Linked DNA regions of Pelodiscus sinensis. The protein of the gene in region 2 purifies or fractionates together with the protein of the main gene of each other region. This does not show direct contact. Links are inferred from orthologs where the notes say so. Each region holds a gene or a part of one and is shown on either strand. Other genes may lie near its edges.

The links.
Region 1: the proteins of MAP3K14 (region 2) and HSP90AB1 purify together in Homo sapiens (affinity purification with mass spectrometry; 4 studies listed by BioGRID and IntAct, with this or other methods). This does not show direct contact. The link is inferred for Pelodiscus sinensis from reciprocal best matches to the Homo sapiens genes MAP3K14 and HSP90AB1.
Region 3: the proteins of MAP3K14 (region 2) and CDC37 purify together in Homo sapiens (affinity purification with mass spectrometry; 5 studies listed by BioGRID and IntAct, with this or other methods). This does not show direct contact. The link is inferred for Pelodiscus sinensis from reciprocal best matches to the Homo sapiens genes MAP3K14 and CDC37.

Annotation. Positions count from the first base shown.
Region 1 is NC_134713.1:140,492,463-140,499,622, forward strand, and holds the start of HSP90AB1 (heat shock protein HSP 90-beta), read left to right. Parts: upstream 1-4,105; 5' UTR 4,106-4,242; intron 4,243-4,408; coding exon 4,409-4,555; intron 4,556-5,034; coding exon 5,035-5,241; intron 5,242-5,574; coding exon 5,575-5,734; intron 5,735-6,195; coding exon 6,196-6,329; intron 6,330-6,965; coding exon 6,966-7,160. UniProt on the Homo sapiens protein: Molecular chaperone that promotes the maturation, structural maintenance and proper regulation of specific target proteins involved for instance in cell cycle control and signal transduction. Undergoes a functional cycle linked to its ATPase activity.
Region 2 is NC_134739.1:810,947-818,340, reverse strand, and holds the start of MAP3K14 (mitogen-activated protein kinase kinase kinase 14), read left to right. Parts: upstream 1-4,390; 5' UTR 4,391-4,538; intron 4,539-5,533; exon of another isoform or gene 5,534-6,993; intron 6,994-7,394.
Region 3 is NW_027465991.1:191,831-198,955, reverse strand, and holds the start of CDC37 (hsp90 co-chaperone Cdc37), read left to right. Parts: upstream 1-4,070; 5' UTR 4,071-4,128; coding exon 4,129-4,230; intron 4,231-7,125. UniProt on the Homo sapiens protein: Co-chaperone that binds to numerous kinases and promotes their interaction with the Hsp90 complex, resulting in stabilization and promotion of their activity. Inhibits HSP90AA1 ATPase activity.

The DNA of each region.
Region 1 (7,160 bases), on a different chromosome or scaffold from region 2:
CTGAGGCCCGCCAGCAGCCCGCCGTGTGCTTGCAGCCTGCCCGTCTCTTTCCCTCATCCCCTCTTTGTTTGCAATCGCCTTAAGCGCCTGTTTCCAAAACAAACAAGAGAAAGGGAGGAGGGGAAAATGAGGCTGATGTCGATCAGCTACCTGACTCCATAAAAACCTCTGGTCCCAGCTCCTTGATGAACCCGTTTGGACCTCTCAGGGTGGCTTGGTGTAAGGGTTGTCTCAGAGCTCTGACTTCCTCCCTCTTTGCCAGCAATACTGCAGGGATCTCCCTCCGGCACCTGATTATAGTTTGTCATGGAATTAAGTTTCATTGGATGCATTGCCTGCAGCTCTGTCCTCCACCCCATGGCACCACTTAGGGCAAATGTGTCCACCAGGGGTTTTTTCTTGTGGCCCCAGCCTCCTGGGCTGGGCTGGAGAGGAAGTGGCTTCTCCCAGTTGCTCCTGGATGTATTGCTTTGGTGTTTGATGGAACCTAGGTCAACCTAACGTTTTAGTGTGGAGCAGGCCCAGTTTGAGCATGAATTACAGTGGTTTACATTACATGTAGCTGCATGAGGGGTTTCCCCAGGTTACCTACCAATTGGTTAGTTATACTGGTGCAAAAAGCCCATGCCTAGGCCATCCCTAAGGCTGCATCTTGGAAATGGGGTGTTGAGAACAATAGGCATTTCCCAGGGCTTCCCCCATTTTAAAACTGTCCCCCATCCTCCCCAGCCCCTGCTGGATAATGGGGAGCAAGAAGATAATGGTGGGTGGAAAGCAGGTGGGTACTGTGAGCTTGCAAACCTACCATAAGCCAAGGGCAAGAAGGCTTTTTTTCTTGCTTCTACTCTGTTTATAATGTTGTCCACGTTAGAAAGGTTGCTCTGATTAAACTCTGTTGGTTTCTAAACCAATAAGATGACAGCAATACAAAAACCCCACAGAGACCAGTCCTAAGTATTATCCCTCAACACAAGCAGGGAGAGTGTGGCTGCTCCCCCCCAAAACATGATAGGGCAATTTGATCCCTTGCATCACTCTGGAATTTCTCTCACTACATGAGTTTCCATGGGGTAAATGCCTGAGAGCTGCCAAGGGCAGGGGAGGGAAAGAACATGGGACAATCATTTCATGGGGTCCGTCCAAACTCTTTTGGGACAATTGCCGCAAGACTTCACAGGTGCAAGGTGGGAGTCCATGGACCAAGTAGGCAACTCTAAAGCTTCATTGTGTAGAAATATTCGCTTAGGCACAGAACTCTTCAGTATTTGTTTTTAATATTAGTCTCTGCCTTTTCCCCAGAACTGTTCACTTAAAAACAAATTGAATGGCTAAAATAAAAAAAAACCACAATGTTATAAATATGCTGCTATTGATTGTTTACCTACCAGGACTTTTTTTTTTCTTTCCTTTCCTTATTTAAAATAAAGACATTTCCAAAACACTCTCATTTTACACTATTTTTTTCTCTGTTATTTCTCCTTTCATCTAGTTTAAAACAAAACACAGCAAAACCCAGATATTTTCCTTTTAAGAGGTAGAAATTAATGGTTCACCCAGTCTGGCATCCTGCCTCTGGCAGTGGCTAATTCCAGATGAGTAAGAAAAAGGTGACAAATTTTCATCAGACCTATGGTTAAGGAAGGTCTCAACATGCAAAGGGACATCAATCTGATTGTGTGAGCAAAGAAATCTGTGCTGGCAGAACTGGGGCCTAAGTATCCCAGCAACAGCAACCAGCCTGGCCACCACACGGCCACAGCCCTGACTCCCGGTGGCAGCAACCCGCCCGCCTGCAGCTCTGATGGCGTAGCAACCCACCTGTCCATGGCCCCAGCCCTTGATAGCAGTAATCCACCCAGCCATGGCCCCAACCCCGGAGGCAGCAAACCATCGACCCACAGAGCTCTAACCCCCAGCGCAGCAACACACCCGTGGTTCTGACCCCTAGAGCAGCAACCCACCCACCTTGTGGCCTTGGCTCTGGCAGCAGCCACCCTCTGATACAGCCCAGGGCCTACCCTGCCACGGGGGCCCCGGTTCTGGGAGCAGCCACACCACTCACCTTCCAGATTCAGCAGGAAGGTGAGTGCTGCTGTACTGCTCTGTGAAGGAGGTGGGTTGGGTTAGAATTGTTTGTGTGCGGTCATGCACTTTAGAGGGAACACTGGTCCAGAGTTACAAATAAATAGCAGAAAAAGAGGGGCTGGGGAGGGAAAGGAAAGGGGGGGAATTATCAATTACAGTGTCTGTGCTAAATGAGGCTAATTGAGTGGGCTATAAATGCCCAATACTTAACTTGTAATGTCATTAGGGTGTTGAATGTAGTGCCCCATCCAAGTAACGTCTTTGTTCAGACCTTGGTTAAAGGTGTCAAAGTTGCAGATGAAGGTGATTTCTGCAGCTTCTCTTTCCAGCTGGTTTTTTAAATTGCTTTGTAACAGGATGGTCACTTTGAGATCTATTAGTGACTGCCTGGTCAGGAAAAAATGTTCCCCAACGGGTTTCTGTATGTTTCCATTTTGAGTATCTGATTCGTGTCCATTAATCCTTTGTCATAGAGACTGTCCAGTTTGGCTAATGTACATGGCAGACAGGCATTGCTGACACAAATCACATTAGTGGATGTGCAGTTGTATGAGCCTCTGATGTGGTGGCTTATGTGGTTAGGTCCTGTGATGATGTTGCTTATCATAGAATCATAGAACCATAGAGCTGGAAGAGACCTCAGAAGGTCAAGTCCACCCCCCTGGTCTAGACAGGACCAATCCCAACTAAATCAACCCAGCCAGGGCTTTGTCAAGCCTTAAACACCTCTAGGGATGGAGACTCCACTACTTCCCTAGGTAAGCCATTCCAGCACTTCACCACTCTCCTAGTGAAATAGTTTTTCCTAATATCCAACCTGGATCTCTCCCACCATAACTTGAGATCATTGCTTCTTGTTCTGCCACCTGTCACTAATGAGAACAGCCTCTCTCCATCCTCTTTGGAACCTCCCTTCAGGAAGTTGAAGGCTGTTATCAAATCCCCCCTCACTCTTCACTTCTGCAGACTAAACAGACCCAACTCCTTCAGCCTCTCCTTATAGGTCATATGCTCCAGCCTCCTAATCATTTTGGTTGCCCTCCGCTGGACCCTCTCCAATGCGTCCACATCCTTTTCGTAGTGGGGGGTCCAGAACTGGACACAATACTCCAGATATGGCTTCACCAGAGCTGAATAAAGGGGAATAATCACATCTCTGGATCTGCTGGCTTGCATAGATGTGTGGACAGAGCTGGCGCTGGAGTTGATTGCAGGGGTGCATTCCTGGATGAGTATGATGGAGGTGTGCTGCGTGGTTACAGGAGAGAATTTGTTTGAGGTTAGGGGGTTGTCTATATTTGAGGACTGGCTTATCCCCCAAGGCCTGTGAGAGTGAGGGGTCATTTTCCAGGATAGGTTGTAGATGGTTGATGATGCGTTGGAGGGGTTTAAGTTGGGGTCTATGGTTTAAATGGTGTCTTGTTTTCTTTGTTGGGTCTATCTTGAAGAAGCCGATGCCTGAGTACTTGTCTGGCTCTGTCAATCTGTTTTTTTCATTTCCCTGGTGGGTATTTCAGTTTTAAGAATGCCTGATAGAGACTCTGTAGGTGTTTGTCTCTGTCTGTGAGATTGGAGCAAATCCAGCTTTATCGTAGGGCCTGGCTGTAAACAGTTGATTGAGAAATGTGTCTTGCATGGAAGTTAGCCTGGTTTAGCAGGACACTCTAATTGACAATTTTCCCCCTTCTCTTTCCCTCCCCATCACCTCTTTTTCTGCTATTTATTTGTACCTCTGGACCCCTTGCTCCATCCATCTGAAGAACTGGGCTGTGCCCACAGCTCCTCTGCATGGTTTGTTAGTCTCTAAGTGCTGCAGGACTATTTGTTGTTTTTTAATTTTTTTCAATAGTGGGATGACATGGTAGCAGGAGATAGCTCAAAAGTAGGGTGACAGAGTAGCGGGGTATAAGGAGCTTCCCGGGTATTGAGGGAACTGGGGAGTATGAGCGCGGTGGGAAAAGAGAAAGTACCAGGATCCACAGCAATCATGGGCCCCGCAAGACCCAGCGTGGCCCTTTTAAGGCGGAGGGATCCAGGGGCCGGGCTCAGCCCCTATATAAGGCTGGCGGAGGGGGTGCCGGCTTCTTTCTCCCGGCCGCACCGCAGCGCCAGTAGCAGGGACTGAGCTCGCTCCTGCCCGAACCCCAGCCCATCACGGTAAAGGCGGGGCGGGCGGGCTCGGCTGGGGAGGGGGGGGGGGCACGTGGCGCCGCCGGGCGCTGCCATGTTGAGCGCGGCGGGGGGGCGGCTCGCGGGGCCGGGCCGCGCGGCCGGTGCCGTTGACCGGTCGGGCGCGCGCTGATGCGGGCTGTCCGCGTTGCAGATGCCGGAAGCCGCGCAGCATGGCGAGGAGGAAGTGGAGACCTTCGCCTTCCAGGCCGAGATCGCGCAGCTCATGTCGCTCATCATCAACACCTTCTACTCCAACAAGGAGATCTTCCTGCGCGAGCTCGTCTCCAACGCCTCCGACGTGAGCCCCCCCCCCCCCCCCCCCCCCGCCTGCCCTTGGGCCAGCCCGGGCCGCGCGCGCTAACGGCCTTCGCCAGCGGCGCCCGCCCTTGGGAATCCCCTCGGCGTCCCTCCCCCGCCAGCCTCCCTGGCGCAGGGGAGCCACAGCCCAGGGCGGGTTTGCCCCGCTGCCCTTGGGGGAGCGGGCATGGAGGCGGCATCCAGCGTCACCCGTTGGTCTGCAGGGATTCTCTCTTCCTGGGGGTGGGGTGGGGTGAGCCCATCTCTGGCCTGTGTGTTGCTCCGATGGGGTATCCACAGTGCTGCTCTCATGCAGGGCCTTGTGTTTTACCCCTTGGAGGGGTTTGAGTGAGCCCAGGCCCTTTGTTGGGGGTGTGTGTCATGCTCCCCTTCCTCTCCAGAGCAGGCAGAGGACGAGATCCAAGGAGCAGGTAGGTGAATAGTAACTGGGCCTTGCAAACCTTCACTCTTCTCCTCCAGGCCCTGGACAAGATCCGTTATGAGAGCCTGACAGATCCCTCAAAGCTAGACAGTGGCAAAGAGCTAAAAATTGACATCATCCCAAACCCCCGGGACCGCACCCTGACTCTGGTAGACACAGGCATCGGTATGACAAAGGCCGACCTCATCAACAACCTGGGCACCATTGCCAAGTCTGGTACTAAAGCCTTCATGGAAGCCCTTCAGGTGAGTAGTCTTGAGTCCGGGCACAAGAGCGTGTGGGCCTGGGCACCTCCTGGGCTCGTGTCCTTCATAGGGCCTTACAGCTTCAACACTCAGTGTTTGCTGGAGGGACAGTCGCCTTCTGGGTCCGCATCCTCCCAGGGAGCAGCATAGAGTGCTCTTGGCTTGCCCACGTGTTTCCCTGCTCCCTCCTGCACATAGAGAAGGTGGCGGGGCCCTGCCCTATCCCTGTCTCTACTGTGCATTGGCCCAGTTCCCTGCTACTGGAACACACCTGACAGACATCGCCGATTTCTGGTGTCCTGATCTTCTCATTCTGTCTCCTTCCCTCTGCAGGCTGGTGCTGACATCTCCATGATTGGGCAGTTTGGTGTGGGCTTCTACTCCGCCTATCTGGTGGCTGAAAAGGTGGTGGTCATCTCCAAGCACAATGATGATGAGCAGTATGCCTGGGAGTCATCAGCTGGGGGCTCCTTCACTGTTAAAACTGATCATGGTATGTACTGTGGAGATGGGGCTTGCAAGGAACCAGCTGCCCCTCTCCTCTCTATCTTCCATGGGGTCCCATGGCTTTGAGAGGGTCGATGATATGGGGGGGGGGGTGAGGTGTTGTAGCCTTAACTGCTACTGGTGGTGAAACAATCACGGGGGGAGAAGGTCGCAGGGTTGTGTGTGAAGGTGAAAGTAACCTGTCATCTTGGGTTAGGTCTCAGGGCTATCCTGTAGGTGCAAGAGGAGAAGGCTACTCTCAATGCTAACCAAAGCCATGGTTTAAGCTTGGTGCAGGCTCAGTACTAGCAGTGCATCTGCCCTACTTTCTCATGACCTTGGCTCCCATTAGAAACACTGTGATGATCCTCCCTTTAGTTTAGCGGTGGGCTGCACCTGCCATTGACATGAGATCTCCAGTGAGCTCTGTCCAGCGGTAATGCCACAGCCTCTCTCCTGGTGCCACAGGTGAGCCCATCGGGCGCGGCACCAAGGTGATCCTGTACTTGAAGGAGGATCAGACAGAGTACCTGGAGGAACGGCGGGTCAAGGAGGTGGTGAAGAAGCACTCACAGTTCATTGGCTACCCCATCACCCTTTACGTACGTATGTGAGATGGCAGGACCCATGAGAAGGACAGATAGAACATGGGAGAGGCCCAGGCTGAGACTGGGGAGAGATTGGTACATTCTGCCTTGAGCCTTCCTATCCCCCCGTGTGTGTATGTAAGAGACTGTGATGGGTGAAGGCAAGAGCTGGGCACTCATCCTGCTGCTAAGGAGTTGGCCAGAAGAATGGTACGAGTGGAAACTAGCTCACTGCCTCTAGGGGGAGGGTATCACAGAAGGGGTATACTGTTCTATCAAACTCACATCCCTAAAATCCATGCCGGTGCTTTGGGCCAGCACCTCCCCTACCTGGTGAGGGGGTGGGGCTGGAATTCCAGCCCTCTGTCTCCTCTTGTTTGGGCCTCTAGTGCATGAGCTATGGGAGGTCTCAACCAGCTGGGGGTGGCCATGGTTCCTTATCCTCTTGGTTGTCCCAGCCACTGAAAGGCACCATTTGCAAAATGTGAACCAGTGCTTTATGTGCCGTGCATCACGGCAATGTTTAGCTTAGTAGGACACCTACCTCCCTTGGGGCTATGGTGTTTGTCACTGCCCTGATCTTCTGCAAATAGGAGGCCCTGAGTAAGCTAGTTGTCTTTGCCACGGCCGTCTTTCTACCTCTTCCTACAGCTGGAGAAAGAGCGGGAAAAGGAAATCAGTGACGATGAGGAAGAGAAGGAGGAGAAAGAGGATGAGGACACAGCCCCCAAGGATGAGAAGCCCAAGATAGAGGACGTGGGCTCAGATGAGGAGGAAGAGGAGGGTGGTAAGGGCAAGAAGAAGAAGACCAAGAAGATCAAGGAGAAATACATTGACCAGGAGGAG
Region 2 (7,394 bases):
GCTATTTGCATATATTTGCATGGATATGCAACCACATTTAAGTTGCAGCCCTTGCCATGTGCTATGAGTATCACTGTGGCCCCCAGGGCTTCCAAAGTTGAGTAGCCCTGATTTAAAGGATAGGTTACAAACCATAGTTAATAGTTCTGCAATTTCACATTTGAGTTCTTTCAGAACTCTTGGGTGAATGCCATCTGGGCCTGGTGACTTGTCACTGTTAAGTTTATCGATTTGTTCCAAAACCTATTCTAATGATACCTTAAACTGGGACAATTCCTCAGATTTGTCACCTAAAAAGAATGGCTCAGGTTTGGGAATCTCCCTAACAGCCTCATTTGTGAAGACCAAACCAAAGGATTCATTTAGTTTCTCCGCAAGGACCTTATTGTCTTTGAGTGCTCCTTTAGCAACTTGATCGTCCAGTGGTTTCACTGGGGCTACGTCTACACTGGCATGAATTTCCGAAAATGCTTTTAACGGAAAAGTTTTCTGTTAAAAGCATTTTTGGAAAAGCACATCTAGATTGGCAGGATGCTTTTCCGCAAAAACACTTTTTGTAGAAAAGCGTCCGTGGCCAATCTAGACGTGGTTTTCCGCAAAAAAGCCCCGATCGCCATTTTCGTGATTGGGGCTTTTTTGTGGAAAACAGTTCTGTGATGTCTACACTGGCTCTTTTGCGCAGAAGTCTTTCGGAAAAAGACTTTTGCCCGAACGGGAGCAGCATAGTATTTCCGGAAAAGCACTGATGATTTTACAAGAGGTCGTCAGTGCTTTTCCGGAAATTCAAGCGGCCAGTGTAGACAGCTGGCAAGTTTTTCCACAAAAACAGATGATTTTGTGGAAAAACTTGCAGTCTAGACACAGCCTGGTTGTTTACCGAGCTTCTTGCTTCTGATGTACTTAAAAACATTTTGCTATTACTTATTGAGATTTTGGCTAGCTGTTCTTCAAACTCCTTTTTGGATTTCCTTATTAATTTGGCAGAGTTTTTGTTCCTTTTTATTTTCCTCGCTAGGATTTAATTTCCACTTTTTAAACAATGTCTTTTTATCTCTCACTGCTTTTTTTACTTGGTTCTTAAGCCATAGCGACACTTGGTTCTCTTATTGTGTTTTTAATTTGAGGTATAAATTTAAGTTGAGAGACTATTTCGGTGTCTTTGAAAAGTCTCCGTGCAAAGTTTGCAGGGATTCTACTTTTGGCATTGGACCTTTTTAATTTCTGTTTAACTAACCTCCTCATTTTTGTGTAGTTTCCCTTTCGGAAATTAAATGCTACAGTGTTGGGCTGCTGAGGTGTTTCTTACCCCACAGGGATGTTACATTTTATTACATTATGGTCACTATTTCCAAGAGATCCACCTGTTTGGATCAAATCCTGTGCTCCACTTAGGGCTAAATCAAGAATTGCCTCTTCTCTTGTGGGTTCCAGAAACAGCTGCTTCAAGAAGCCGTCATTGAAGGTGTCAACAAATTTTCTCTCTGCATCCCGTCCTTAGGCAATGTGTACCCAGTCAATATGGGATAGATGAAATCCCGCACTATTATTTTTATTTTTACAGCCTCTCTAATTTCCCTTAGCAAAAGAATATAGCAGTGGGGATATATTACCGACCACCTGACCAGGACAGTGATAGTCACTATCACTTCCTGGTCAGTAGGGTTGCCAGATGGTTTCAACAAAAATACTGGATACACTTGACATTACATCACAATCTACATTACATCTTATTTAGAAAATACCCGACATTTCTATTTTCTCAATTTGTTTCCTGAACAGAAAGCTCAAATACTGGACTGTCTGGTTGAAAACCGGACACCTGGCAACCCTACTGGTGAGGTGGTCAGTAATATATCCATATTGCTATATTCTTCTCATCAGAGCATGGAATTACTTCCTATAGCGATTCTATGGAACATTTAGGCTCATTTCAGATTTATCCCTCATTTGATTCTACATTTTCTTTCACGTATAATACCACTCCCTCACCCACACGACGTGTTGTGTCCGATAGATGTTGTTCCCTGGTATGACGGTCACGTTGCTTGTCTTGTTCCAAGTTTCTGTGATGCCTGTTATATCAATATCCTCCTTTGCAACGAGGCACTCCGGTCCACCCATTACTGGGTGCGTAGAAGCACATTAACGGTGTGTCCCTACTTTGCGGCCAGGCAACGCCGCGAAGCACGTTGACGGCGTGTCCCTACTTAGCGGCCGGGCGACGCCACGAAGCACGTTGACGGCGTGTCCCTACTTAGCGGCCGGGCGACGCCGCGAAGCCCGTTGACGGCGTGTCCCTACTTAGCGGCCGGGCGACGCCGCGAAGCCCGTTGACGGCGTGTCCCTACTTAGCGGCCGGGCGACGCCGCGAAGCCCGTTGAAGGCGTGTCCCTACTTAGCGGCCGGGCGACGCCGCGAAGCCCGTTGACGGCGCGTCCCTACTTAGCGGCCGGGCGACGCCGCGAAGCCCGTTGACGGCGCGTCCCTACTTAGCGGCCGGGCGACGCCGCGAAGCACGTTGACGGCGCGTCCCTACTTAGCGGCCGGGCGACGCCGCGAAGCACGTTGACGGCGCGTCCCTACTTAGCGGCCGGGCGACGCCGCGTAGCACGTTGACGGCGCGTCCCTACTTAGCGGCCGGGCGACGCCGCGAAGCACGTTGAAGGCGCGTCCCTACTTAGCGGCCGGGCGACGCCGCGTAGCACGTTGAAGGCGCGTCCCTACTTAGCGGCCGGGCGACGCCGCGAAGCACGTTGACGGCGCGTCCCTACTTAGCGGCCGGGCGACGCCGCGAAGCACGTTGACGGCGCGTCCCTACTTAGCGGCCGGGCGACGCCGCGAAGCACGTTGACGGCGCGTCCCTACTTAGCGGCCGGGCGACGCCGCGAAGCACGTTGACGGCGCGTCCCTACTTAGCGGCCGGGCGACGCCGCGAAGCACGTTGACGGCGCGTCCCTACTTAGCGGCCGGGCGACGCCGCGAAGCACGTTGACGGCGCGTCCCTACTTAGCGGCCGGGCGACGCCGCGAAGCACGTTGACGGCGCGTCCCTACTTAGCGGCCGGGCGACGCCGCGAAGCACGTTGACGGCGCGTCCCTACTTAGCGGCCGGGCGACGCCGCGAAGCACGATGACGGCGCGTCCCTACTTAGCGGCCGGGCGACGCCGCGAAGCACGTTGACGGCGCGTCCCTACTTAGCGGCCGGGCGACGCCGCGAAGCACGTTGACGGCGCGTCCCTACTTAGCGGCCGGGCGACGCCACGAAGCACGTTGACGGCGCGTCCCTACTTAGCGGCCGGGCGACGCCGCGTAGCACGTTGACGGCGCGTCCCTACTTAGGGGCCGGGCGACGCCGCGAAGCACGTTGACGGCGTGTCCCTACTTAGGGGCCGGGCGACGCCGCGAAGCACGTTGACGGCGCGTCCCTACTTAGGGGCCGGGCGACGCCGCGAAGCCCGTTGACGGCGCGTCCCTACTTAGCGGCCGGGCGACGCCGCGAAGCCCGTTGACGGCGTGTCCCTACTTAGGGGCCGGGCGACGCCGCGAAGCACGTTGACGGCGTGTCCCTATTTAGGGGCCGGGCGACGCCGCGAAGCCCGTTGACGGCGTGTCCCTACTTAGGGGCCGGGCGACGCCGCGAAGCACGTTGACGGCGTGTCCCTACTTAGGGGCCGGGCGACGCTGTGAAGCCGAACGGGGCACATGGGCCTGGGCGGGCAGGCCCCCGAAGGGCAGCTCGCCAGCGGGAGGAACACCACGCCCTGAGGGCTCGGCCCCCCGCCCACCCTGCGCAGCCCCTGGCCCGAGCCTGCCTGGCCGGACTAGGGGCGTTAAGCCTGCCTGAGGGGAGGCGGGCGCTGCTGCTCTGGAGAACCCCAGGGCTGTGTAGCTTCCAAGGGGGCGACCCCGGCCCCCCCGCCTCTTTCTGACAGATGGGGGAGCGACTAGCGAGGCGCCCCGCCGGCGCAAGCAGCAGTTGCTGGGCAGGGCGGCACAGGCCGGACGCGCCTGAGAGGATAATGGCGGGAAGCTCGAGGCCACCGCCGGGCTAACGGCCCCCCCGCGCATGCGCGCGGCGGGCGCTCGAAGCCGGGGACTAAACCTTCCACCTGCGCCCGCGCATCGCAAACGCCACATGTCCCGCCTCCCACGCGCGGGCCGACTGCGCACGCGCATTCCGGCGAGTTCCGCCGCGCCTGGAGGGGGAAGGGAAAAGGCTTTCGAGAAGCCCCGCCCATTTCTGGGAAACCACAGGCCCCCTCTGTCCAATGAAAGCCGAGAGCCGGGGCGGCGGAAGAAGCGACCCTGCGGCAGCGCTGCCGACGGGGAGGAGCGAGGCTGCAAGGAGCACGCGCGCGGATTGGTTCTAGGGAGGCAGGGGGCGTGGCTACGATGCCTGGCAGGCCGGTTGGGCGGGGCCGAGGCGGCGGGGGCGGGGCCAGGCAGGTGCTGGGGCAGATGCGGCCCGAGCTCCCCAGGCGCCGTGGAGGGAGCCTGAGGCCTGCGCCGCGCCCGAGGCCCCGCACGGACCGGAGCGGGTAGGTGGGCGCGCGCCGGCCGCTTGGCCCCTCCCCGCGGCGCGCGACCCCGTTACTCGCCGCCCGGCCGGGTCCTACCGCTCCCCCCGCGGCTCCGGCCGAGCCCGCCCGGCGGCCGGCTCCTGTAGGGGGCGCTGGCTCCCCGCCGCCTCGGGGGCGCGTCGAGGGGGAGGTGCTGTGAAATGGGGGGAGTGGGGGCGCGTCGAGGGGGTGGGGCTGTGAAATGGGGGGAGTGGGGGCGCGTCGAGGGGGTGGGGCTGTGAAATGGGGGGAGTGGGGGCGCGTCGAGGGGGTGGGGCTGTGAAATGGGGGGAGTGGGGGCGCGTCGAGGTGGTGGGGCTGTGAAATGGGGGGAGTGGGGGCCCATCGAGGGCGTGGGGCTGTGAAATGGGGGGACTGGGGGCGCGTCGAGGGGGTGGGGCTGTGAAATGGGGGGAGTGGGGGCCCGTCGAGGGGGTGGGGCTGTGAAATGGGGGGAGTGGGGGCCCGTCGAGGGGGTGGGGCTGTGAAATGGGGGGAGTGGGGGCCCGTCGAGGGGGTGGGGCTGTGAAATGGGGGAGAGTGGGGGCGCGTCGAGGGGGAGGGGCTGTGAAATGGGGGAGAGTGGGGGCGCGTCGAGGGGGTGGGGCTGTGAAATGGGGGAGAGTGGGGGCCCGTCGAGGGGGGTGGGGCTGTGAAATGGGGGGAGTGGGGGCCCGTCGAGGGGGTGGGGCTGAGAAATGGGGGAGCTGGGGGGCGCGTCGAGGGGGGTGGGGCTGTGAAATGGGGGGAGTGGGGGCCCATCGAGGGGGTGGGGCTGTGAAATGGAGGGTCTGGGGGGCGCGTCGAGGGGGGTGGGGCTGTGAAATGGGGGGGAGTGGGGGCCCATCGAGGGGGTGGGGCTGTGAAATGGGGGGGCTGGGGGGCGCGTCGAGGGGGGTGGGGCTGTGAAATGGGGGGCTGGGGGCCCGTCGAGGGGGGTGGGGCTGTGAAATGGGGGGGCTGGGGTCTTAGGCAGTCCCATGCAATAGTAACCCCTAGTCTCTGAGGGGCAAGAGCAAGCCAATCAGTGTTCATATTTACCACCCTAGTGTGAGCATTGCCCTGTTGGGCTCCTTGGCTCCCTTTCCATCCAGATGTAGCTTCCACGTGTCAGCTCTAGAATTCAGTTGTTTAAAATGTGTTAAACAGTAAAACTGCTGTTAACTTTCTAAAGTGAGGATACCAGAAATCTGAGCTGTTTCTGGTCATAAATTGACTTCCTCTCTTAGAACCTTCTGCTGGGAAGCATCAGCAAAGGCTATTTGAACTTGGGTTGATTTAGTTGGGATTGGTCCTGCCTTGAGCCAGGAGGCTGGACTTGATAACCTCCTGAGGTCTTTTGCAGCTCTGATTCTATGAACTTGTTAAACTAAAATAAGAGAGTCTTCGTTTCTGACATGAATGGTTTTGATAGCAACATCTGATACCTAGTATGTTTTGAAAATAACAATGAAATAAGGTATTAGCAAAACATCAGCTTTATTCAGTGGAATACTGAAAGAGTGGCAGATTTGGATGTGTATGATAACTTTAACTATTTAGTTAAGGTATGATAGCTGAACTCTGTTTTGTTCCTTTGATTTCTACTAGTGTGTTGTGCAGCCTAAACATCTTCACATTGTTAACGTTATGTGAAGTATTTCAGCAAATTAACAATTATTTTGTGAAACATTCTTGAACATAGCAGAGTATTCCTAAGTGATCTCATTACTGACTAATATGTATCTTCAGCCTAGAATTCAGTTGAACTTGCTCTTTCTTTTCCATGTGTTCCTATAGTAGCTTCAGAGGAGGCCTAAAGAGACACTTTTAGCCCAGATGGTATCTTTCTACTAATGAACAGACTTTTTTCCTTTTTGATTTGGGGGAGGGGGGATAACTTACTTCTGCCTGCTTTCTGCTTCTTTACAGCAAAAAAGCATTCCTAATAAGTTAGGAGAGTAAACAGCAGACTTTTGCTGTTTTGATTAGGAGTTGCTAGGTGCAGATCTGCAAAAGCTATCCTTTACAGTGGGGGAGGAGAGAAAAAGGCAGAGACCTTGATCAGCCAATCAAAATATACAAGTGAATAAGATCTGGAGTTCAGTTTAACTGCCTGTTTACTCACTACTCATTATCTGACCATCACTTCTCTTTAAAACAACTTTTTTTGGCAAAAGGTTAAAATACTGCTTTGCTGATTAATAAGTCACTGCTGTGGTTGATTTCAGATGCTTCCTGTCTGCTTCATCTTAATATCAGTTAAGCTGGAAACATACGTGCACGAATTGAAAGTGGCAGCTTGACACATCTTGCAAATTGCTTTTTAAATAGGATTTCTGAGCCCTTGTATGAGTGATAATTCTTCTTTGTTTATCCACAGTGTGAGTCTGCAGATGAAATTAGGGTTAGAAGACATCCAAGTTACTCTAAGCATCATAAGGGCTATACATAGGTATATACATTTAACTATCTTAAATCTAGTGGCTGTGCAGTTGTTATAATTGATTGCACATGTAAAAAGTTGAATTACTAAGTGATTGTTGTCATGAAAAGCTGAGTCTCTGAATATCATACTGTTACTTTAACCTTATTAATAGCAACAGCTGAGTGGAAGGAGAGGTCAGTCAATTTTGTACACATTTGTTGGTATTCTTAACTTTTGCATTTAGCATGGTGATGGTGCTTTAGAAATATCTAAATGTCTCAACTTAAGTTGAAATTGTTTGCTATAAATCTTTAAAATATTGCTGTTTGATTAATAGTATTTTTCTCAGATTGGACAGTGAAACTAAATGAGTTAGTTTAGCTTTCTGGGTCTTGTTCACTATTGTGATGATGTGTTTGGGGTTCACA
Region 3 (7,125 bases), on a different chromosome or scaffold from region 2:
CACCGCTCGGCCCGGCCTCCGCGCCCGCGTGCAGAGAACCAGGGCAGGGCGTTTTCCTTCTCCCGGCTCCGACGGCGGCTGCCTGAGTGTCAAGTCCCAGAGCCGGCAGCCGGTCTCCGCGCCGCGTTCTCCTTGCTCCTGGCACTGGAGGCAGGGCAGAGCCTGGGCCCGGGACCCAACGGCAGCCTTGTTGTGAGGAGGGGCGGCTGGCCGTTTAGACGCAAGGGAGGGGCGCAGCCTGCAGGTATGACATCACAGCTCCTCGCCATGGAGACGGTGATGAGGTCACGCACCCGGGGGCCAGTCTGGCACAGACCTATGGGATCGCTGCTGTGTGCCAAAGCCCATGCCTGCCCTGGCTCCATCGGGCCGCAGGGCGGGGGTGCACCCCTAGAGTGGCCCCCCATGCAGGGACCTCTGCAGCTGTGGCTCGGCTGGGCTTGCTGCGCCCACCTGGAGGCAGGGTGCTGGGGCACCCCGCAGCTGCTGCAGCCTACACTGGGGCTCCGGGGAGCACATGGGGGGCTTGCACCCCCATGCTGTCCCTCGTGCTCAGTACCTCGGAGCCAGGCCTGCTGCGCTCAAAGGGGGGCAGGGCCCGGAGGGAGGCGGCAGCCGGCAGTTCAGAAGGGAGAAGAGGCTGGCTGGGATCGAGCAGGGGGATGGGTGTGAGCCGTTTCAGGGTAGCTTCCCCCAGCAAGGTCAGCAGGGTAACACCACCCTGAGCCCGCCGGGCATTCTGCAGGGCTGCTCCACACCCCTCGCTCCTGTGTAGCTCCCGAAGGGCACGGCCAAGCAGGCCACGGTCATACCCCTATTTTACTGAGGGGGAAACCGAGGCAGGCAGCGGGGCAGTGACTGGCCTGAGGTCACCTGGCAGGCCATGAGCGGAGCCAGGGCTGCTAGAGCCTCACCGGAGGCTTCTGCTACCCCCCACTGCAGCGCGCAGGCCACGTTTCTTTGGGAGCCGGCAGGATGTCCCTCCCCCTCCGATCTTCCCACTCTCAGAACCGCCCCCCCCCCCCCGTCATTCCACTCGCCCTCTGCCTGCCTGCATGTAGCCCAGCCCAGCCGCCCCGTCTCTGGAAGGGGGGCGGGGGAGGCAGCGTCCCTGCTCCCAGCGCGAGGCCGGACGCCCAAGCAGCAGCTCACTGGGCCAGCAGCCTGGGACCAGGGCGGGTGAGCAGCGGAGATGGGCAGCCTGAGGCACCAGGGCCTGCGCTGGGGGTGGGATTTCCCGCTGCGTAAGGACAGCCGGGTCGCACCCGGAGCTCAGCAGGAAAAGGCCGTTCCAGGCCGGGCCAGGGCTCCACCTCTGCATCTCGGGCAGTGAGTCCACAGAGCCTGCGCCAGTCTCATTGGGAAGCACCTAGGATCCCAGGGCGGGAAGAGCCCTCTGGAGGCATCAAGCCCAACCCCGACTCCATCATCCCAGCCAGGGCTCTGCCAAGCTGGGATTTAAAACCCTCTAGGGATGGAGATTCCCCCCTTGCCTAGGGACCCAGCCCAGCGCTTCCCCACCCGCCTGGGGAAAGTTTGTCCTAATCTCCAACCTAGAGCCCCCACTGCAACGTGAGCCCATCGCTCCTCGTTCTGCCACCCGCCCCACGGGGAACAGCCTCCCTGGAACCCTGGACGGTGGCTACCAGGATCCCCCCTCGCTCTTCTCTTCTGCAGACTAAACAAGCCCAAATCCCTCGGCCTCTCCTCGTAGGCCACATGCTCCAGCCCCCTCATCATTTTGGTCGCCCTCCACTGGACCCTCTCCAATGCGTCCACACCCTTTGTATAGTGGGGGGGCCCAGAACGCAACACTCCAGGTGTGGCCTGTGGGAGAAAAATCAAATAACTCCAATTGTGTCTAAGGGGGGACTGTGCAGGAAATCAAAACTCTAAAAGAAAACTGCTGGAAGGGTTACAAAGTTTTCCAGGCCTCTCTCCCTGTAACAGAGAGAAATCAAATTAGCTCTAATCAAGACCCTTCCAATGCCTCCTGTCTCAAGTTCATGGATACTCCTAGTCTGTCACAATTTGTCATGTAAACCCTTATCTTTGTCACGGTTTGCCTTGTAGACTCCTCCACTCACGTTCTCATGTGGCTTTGTTCTGTAAAACTTACTTCTAGCACTCCTGGGGTGAACAGAAGTCTCAGAGTGCTTCTGCTGAGACTTTGATATGTTAAAGAAGAACAATCCACAACTGGGCTGTCTGAACTTACTGTATAAAGATTCCCTGAATCTGTCTGTCAGGGCTGCTTCACTCTTGGTGTGACAGCCTGCATGCATGCATCAGAAAGTTTTCTCTTCTAGGTTTCTCTCCTGCCTCACTGATTTGACCTCCAGCCTCGGACCCTTCTGGGGGCTCTGTACCCCAGGGGAGCGAGATTTCCCCCTCAGGCCTCACCGGAGCCGGATAAAGGGGAATAATCGCTTCTCTAGATCTGCTGGCAACGCTCCTCCTAATGCCCCTAATCTGCCGTTAGCCTGGGCCACAAGGGCCCCCCATCGACTCGTCTCCAGCTTCTCAGCCACTGTAACCCCAGGTCCTTTTGTGCAGAACGGCTGCTTAGCCAGTTGGTCCCCAGCCTGTAGCAGGGCTTGGGTTTCTTCCCTCCCAAGGCCATGTCTGAACCCTGCACCCTAGGATTAGGAAGGGATCTGAGGGCAGGTCAGCCAAGGAGATTATCTGCACCCCTATTTCTGTGTCAGGGTGACCCCCAGTGGTTGCAGGGGTAAGTGCAGTTCTCTTTCATCCTGCGCCTGCTGAGAGTGACATCTTACATCCTCTGGGGGAGTGGGTGCAGCCGCCACATTCCATGCTGGTGGCCGACCCTCAGCTGACATAAATGGGCGTCTCCCCCATTAAAACGACGAGGCTTGGCCTAGATATACTATTTAGCCCCACATGACGATTCCAGCCCCAGAGGGAAACTTGGCACGAAGGGTCACAACCATGCAAAGCCAGCAGTTGTGAGGGAGCGCTAGTACACATGCAGGCGTTGTCAGCGTGGGAGCAAAGTTCGCAGCCTTGCTGTCCTCGGGGAAGCCATCGCTGGAGGGGGCTGACTTCAGAGCTCTAAGGAAAGACTTGGGTTTTGCATTAACAAGGCTTCAGACTAGGGATGTGAGTGACCATTTAAACCTCAGTGTGTCTACTCCCCCCCGTGCTACTGGCTCTGAATCAGAGCCTGCAGCGTGGGGTGGCTGCCGGCTCCCTGGGAGCGGAGCTGGCATAAGCTGGCTCATGGCATTCACCCGCTCCCAAGGAGCCAGCTATGCTGTGGGCTGTGCAGTGTAAGCTGTATACTGAGCTATACCATTTTTTTACGTCCTGCTCCGGACCAGTGTTCCCAGTTAGCTGAGCGCTTGGGTGGCCACCCAGAAGAGATTCCAATGCCATCCAGCCGATTAGCAGGGCACCCACTCGTGGTGCACAGAGCGGACGCTGTGCAGACGGCACGCGCTGGGGCGAGGCGTGTTCCCTTTCTCAGGATTTGCTGGGGAGTCTGGCCCCGTCTGCAGCCCCCAGTGATCGGAACACGGGGACTCTCAGCCGACTCGCGCTGGGTTGTGGGGAGAGCCCTGAAAACACAAACCCCTTCAGGGACCACAAACGTGCGAACAGCCCCCAGCTAGTGAGCGTGAGAACAGCACGAGCGGGGCACCAGCGGGTGCACGGTGCAGCTCCCCAGCCGTGCGTGGCCCTGCTGTTTTGTGGGTACCCGGTACCGCCTCTGCGGGGCACGTGGGGGCCAGGCCGGTGCCCACGGGGCGTGTAACCCTGGGCGTGCCCCTCCCACACCGCGTGCGCGCGCAGCAGGTAGGGCGCCTGCAACCCGCTGACCCCTGAAGACACAGGCCGTGTGTGGCCCTTTAAGAGAAGCGCCATTTGGAGCACAGAAGGGGGAGCGCATGCGCAGTAAACGGCCTCTGGACCAGAATTCGCGCCCCCGTGCCCCTGCCGCTGAACGTGTGGAGCCGCCAGCCGCTGCTGCGCATGCGTATCCGGGGCGTGGGCGCGCACGCGCAGCTGCGCGTACGAAGCCTTCCCGCCGACGGGCGCCGGAAGTGAGTCAGGGCGAGGGCGGAAGTGGGCGTGCGGAGGCTGGAGGGTTCCAGAAGTGGCGCCATGGTGGATTACAGCGTCTGGGACCACATCGAGGTGTCGGACGATGAGGACGAGACTCACCCCAACATCGACACGGCCAGCCTCTTCCGCTGGCGCCACCAGGTGCGGCCCCGCCCCGGGGAGCCCCCCGTTCCCATGGCGACCGGCCCCGCCCCTGGGGAGCCCCCCCGTTCCCATGGCGACCGGCCCCGCCCCGGGGAGCCCCCCCGTTCCCATGGCGACCGGCCCCGCCCCTGGGGAGCCCCCCGTTCCCATGGCGACCGGGCCCCGCCCCTGGGGAGCCCCCCCGTTCCCATGGCGACCGGGCCCCGCCCCTGGGGAGCCCCCCCGTTCCCATGGCGACCGGGCCCCGCCCCTGGGGAGCCCCCCAGGCCCCTCCAGCCAGGGTGCGATGGGGGCAAACTGGCTCGTGCGAGTCTCTGCTTGAGGCCCCGGGGCTGCGGGGGGAGGAGCTTGGGGGGGGGGGCTCGCACAGGCCCGCGGGCCCCGGGCTCCACGTGCTGCCCCCCCCCCGTGGTGCCCAGAGGATGCTGCCCGGGGGGTCCCTTGGCTTCAGCGAGCCCAGGCCTTTCGTAGAGCCCCCAGCGGGAGGCGCCGGCCCCAGCAGTCCCCAGCCCGGGGCAGGCTCTGCTCCTGGGTGGACTGCGTTGGAGGCAGCCCCCCCCTTCCGACTGAGGCCTGGCTCCCCTCCCATCCCAATGGCACCCTGGCTCCCAACCCACTGTCTTTGGGCTCTTCCCGTGGGGAGCCTGCACTAGTGGGGCTGGGCCCCCAGGACGTCTAACTCTCGGGGTCCCTCACCTGATTGCAGAGGCGTGTTGAGAGAGGGGAGCACTGACATATCGTCTCTCCTTAGAGTCCCTTCTCAATACCCTCTGGGTTGGTGCCCTCTCCCCGCAGCCCTGCCTCCAGCGGGGCAGAGGAGGCGTCCCACTTTCACCCCTACGATGCTGGAGGAGAGGGCTCATGGGAAAGCTGGGTCTGACCCTGAGCGGCATCAAGCCAGGAGCAGCCTCCCTCCAAGTCAGGAATGGGCAGCAATAGCAAATGGACTTGGGTGCCAATGAATCGGTTCTCTGATCTCTCCAGCCTAGTGAGTGGCTCTCCCAGGTGGGGCTCCTCTAGGCCTGAGACCCCTGGGACATGCCACGGTTCTGTCAGATCAGGCCTAGCGATGTGAAATATCAGTTCATTGAATAGTCAGTTAACCTCATGAATTCTTATTGGTTACTCGACTATTTGATAGTCCCCCGGGGGGGGATACTGCGCTCCAGGCCTGCTCCCGAGGAGCCTCCGGTCACTCCACGCTGCTGCTTCTGTATCAGGTAGATCTTCTGTGTGGGAGCAGACACTCCTACAGGAGTTGAGGGTGTTCAGTAAGGGAGGCGATCCCCCTGGAAACTTGTCTTCGCAGGTACTCAGAGGGTTTTTTCTCCTTAAGCAGGCATCCTGCATAGTACGTATAGGGGACTTCAATATGGGGACTTCAGTACCTGAAAAATATTCTGGAGCAAATGACAAAACAGTATCTCTAGAGGATGCCTGGGTCAGAGGGAGGAGCCGGTGGTTTTGTTGACAATAGATCCTGCCAAATAACCTATTTCCCTTGTTGACAGATGCTGGCTTAGGGCAGAGGGGAGCGGTACAGGGTTTGACACAGGCAGTCTAGATAAAATCACCACAAGATAACTGGTTGACGGTGGCCCTCAAAGAGTAGTCAGTGGTTTGCTGTCAAACTGGGGGTACTATCTAGCAGGGTCCTGAGGCAAGCCTGTTCCATAGTTTCATTAACGACTTGGATAATGAGCATAGACTGCCCTTATAGCATCCAGCCCAGAGGGGTTGCCGGCACTGTGGATGGCCGTTGGAATTCAAAACAACCTTGACACGTAGAGAATGGAGAGAGACTCAACAGAGGAAGTGGACTAAGGAGAAGTGCGAAGTGCTGAATTTAGGCAGGAGCTGGGAAGTGCCCAGCACAAAACAGACCAGCTGGCTGGGTGGGGGTAATGGAGGGAGCATGTGGGCATTAGAGCGGATGACGAATTGAATATGAACCAACAATGTGATCAGTTGCCAAAAGGGCTGGTATCGGGCTGGGGTGTGTTAACAGGAGCTTTACTTATGTAGCTGTCCTGCTTTCCGTGACGCTGCGGAAGCCTCGGTTGGAGTCCTGTGTCCGTTTCTGGGTGTGACCCCTCAGGAAAGTTGGCGAGAGTTCAGAGGAGGAGGGTCAGAAAACCTGACCTCTGAGGGGAGATTGCAAACCCTGTGCATGTTTAGTCTTGATAAAAGACAACTGGGGGTGGGGGGGGGGTTGATAATAGTCGTACAAGCTGTTAAGGGCCGGTGGATCTGTTCGCTGTGCCCACTGAAAGCAGGGCAAGCAGCAAGGGACTTAATCTACAGCCAGGGAGTTTGTCTGGAGTCGAGTTTTTTTTTTCCTCATATTAAAGTGCCATTAAGCTCTGGACTAGGCTCCCCAAGGGCACGTGGATGCCTCCGTCGGAGGGGTTATGAGCAGATGGCCACGTGCCTGTCAGGGATAGTGTAGGGTTACTTGGTCTTGCCTCAGCACAAGGGCCTGGACTTGGCAAGCTCCCTTGCAGCCTGACATAGCTGTGATTTTTGTTATCGGACGCTCTGTGATTCTCCAGTGAAGGGCGGATTTATAGCCCTTTAGTACAGAGACAGACGCTGGGGCGCAGAGCAGGGAGGGAGCTGCCTGAGGAGATGCTGCTGCCTGGCTGCACTGACCTAAAGTCAGGAGTCGGGAATGTGAATCCTAGAGGAAACCCCAGGGCTTGCTGCCCTCAGGTGCGACCCCAGGAAGCTATCTGGCAGAAATCCACTCCCGGTCTCCCAGTAACATTCTCCCCACAGTCGCTCTGGCCCCGTCTCCCAGTAACATTCTCCCCACAGTCGCTCTGGCCCCGTCTCCCATAACATTCCCTCCACACTCTCTGAGTGTGGTACATCCCTGCTTCGCGAGTGCCC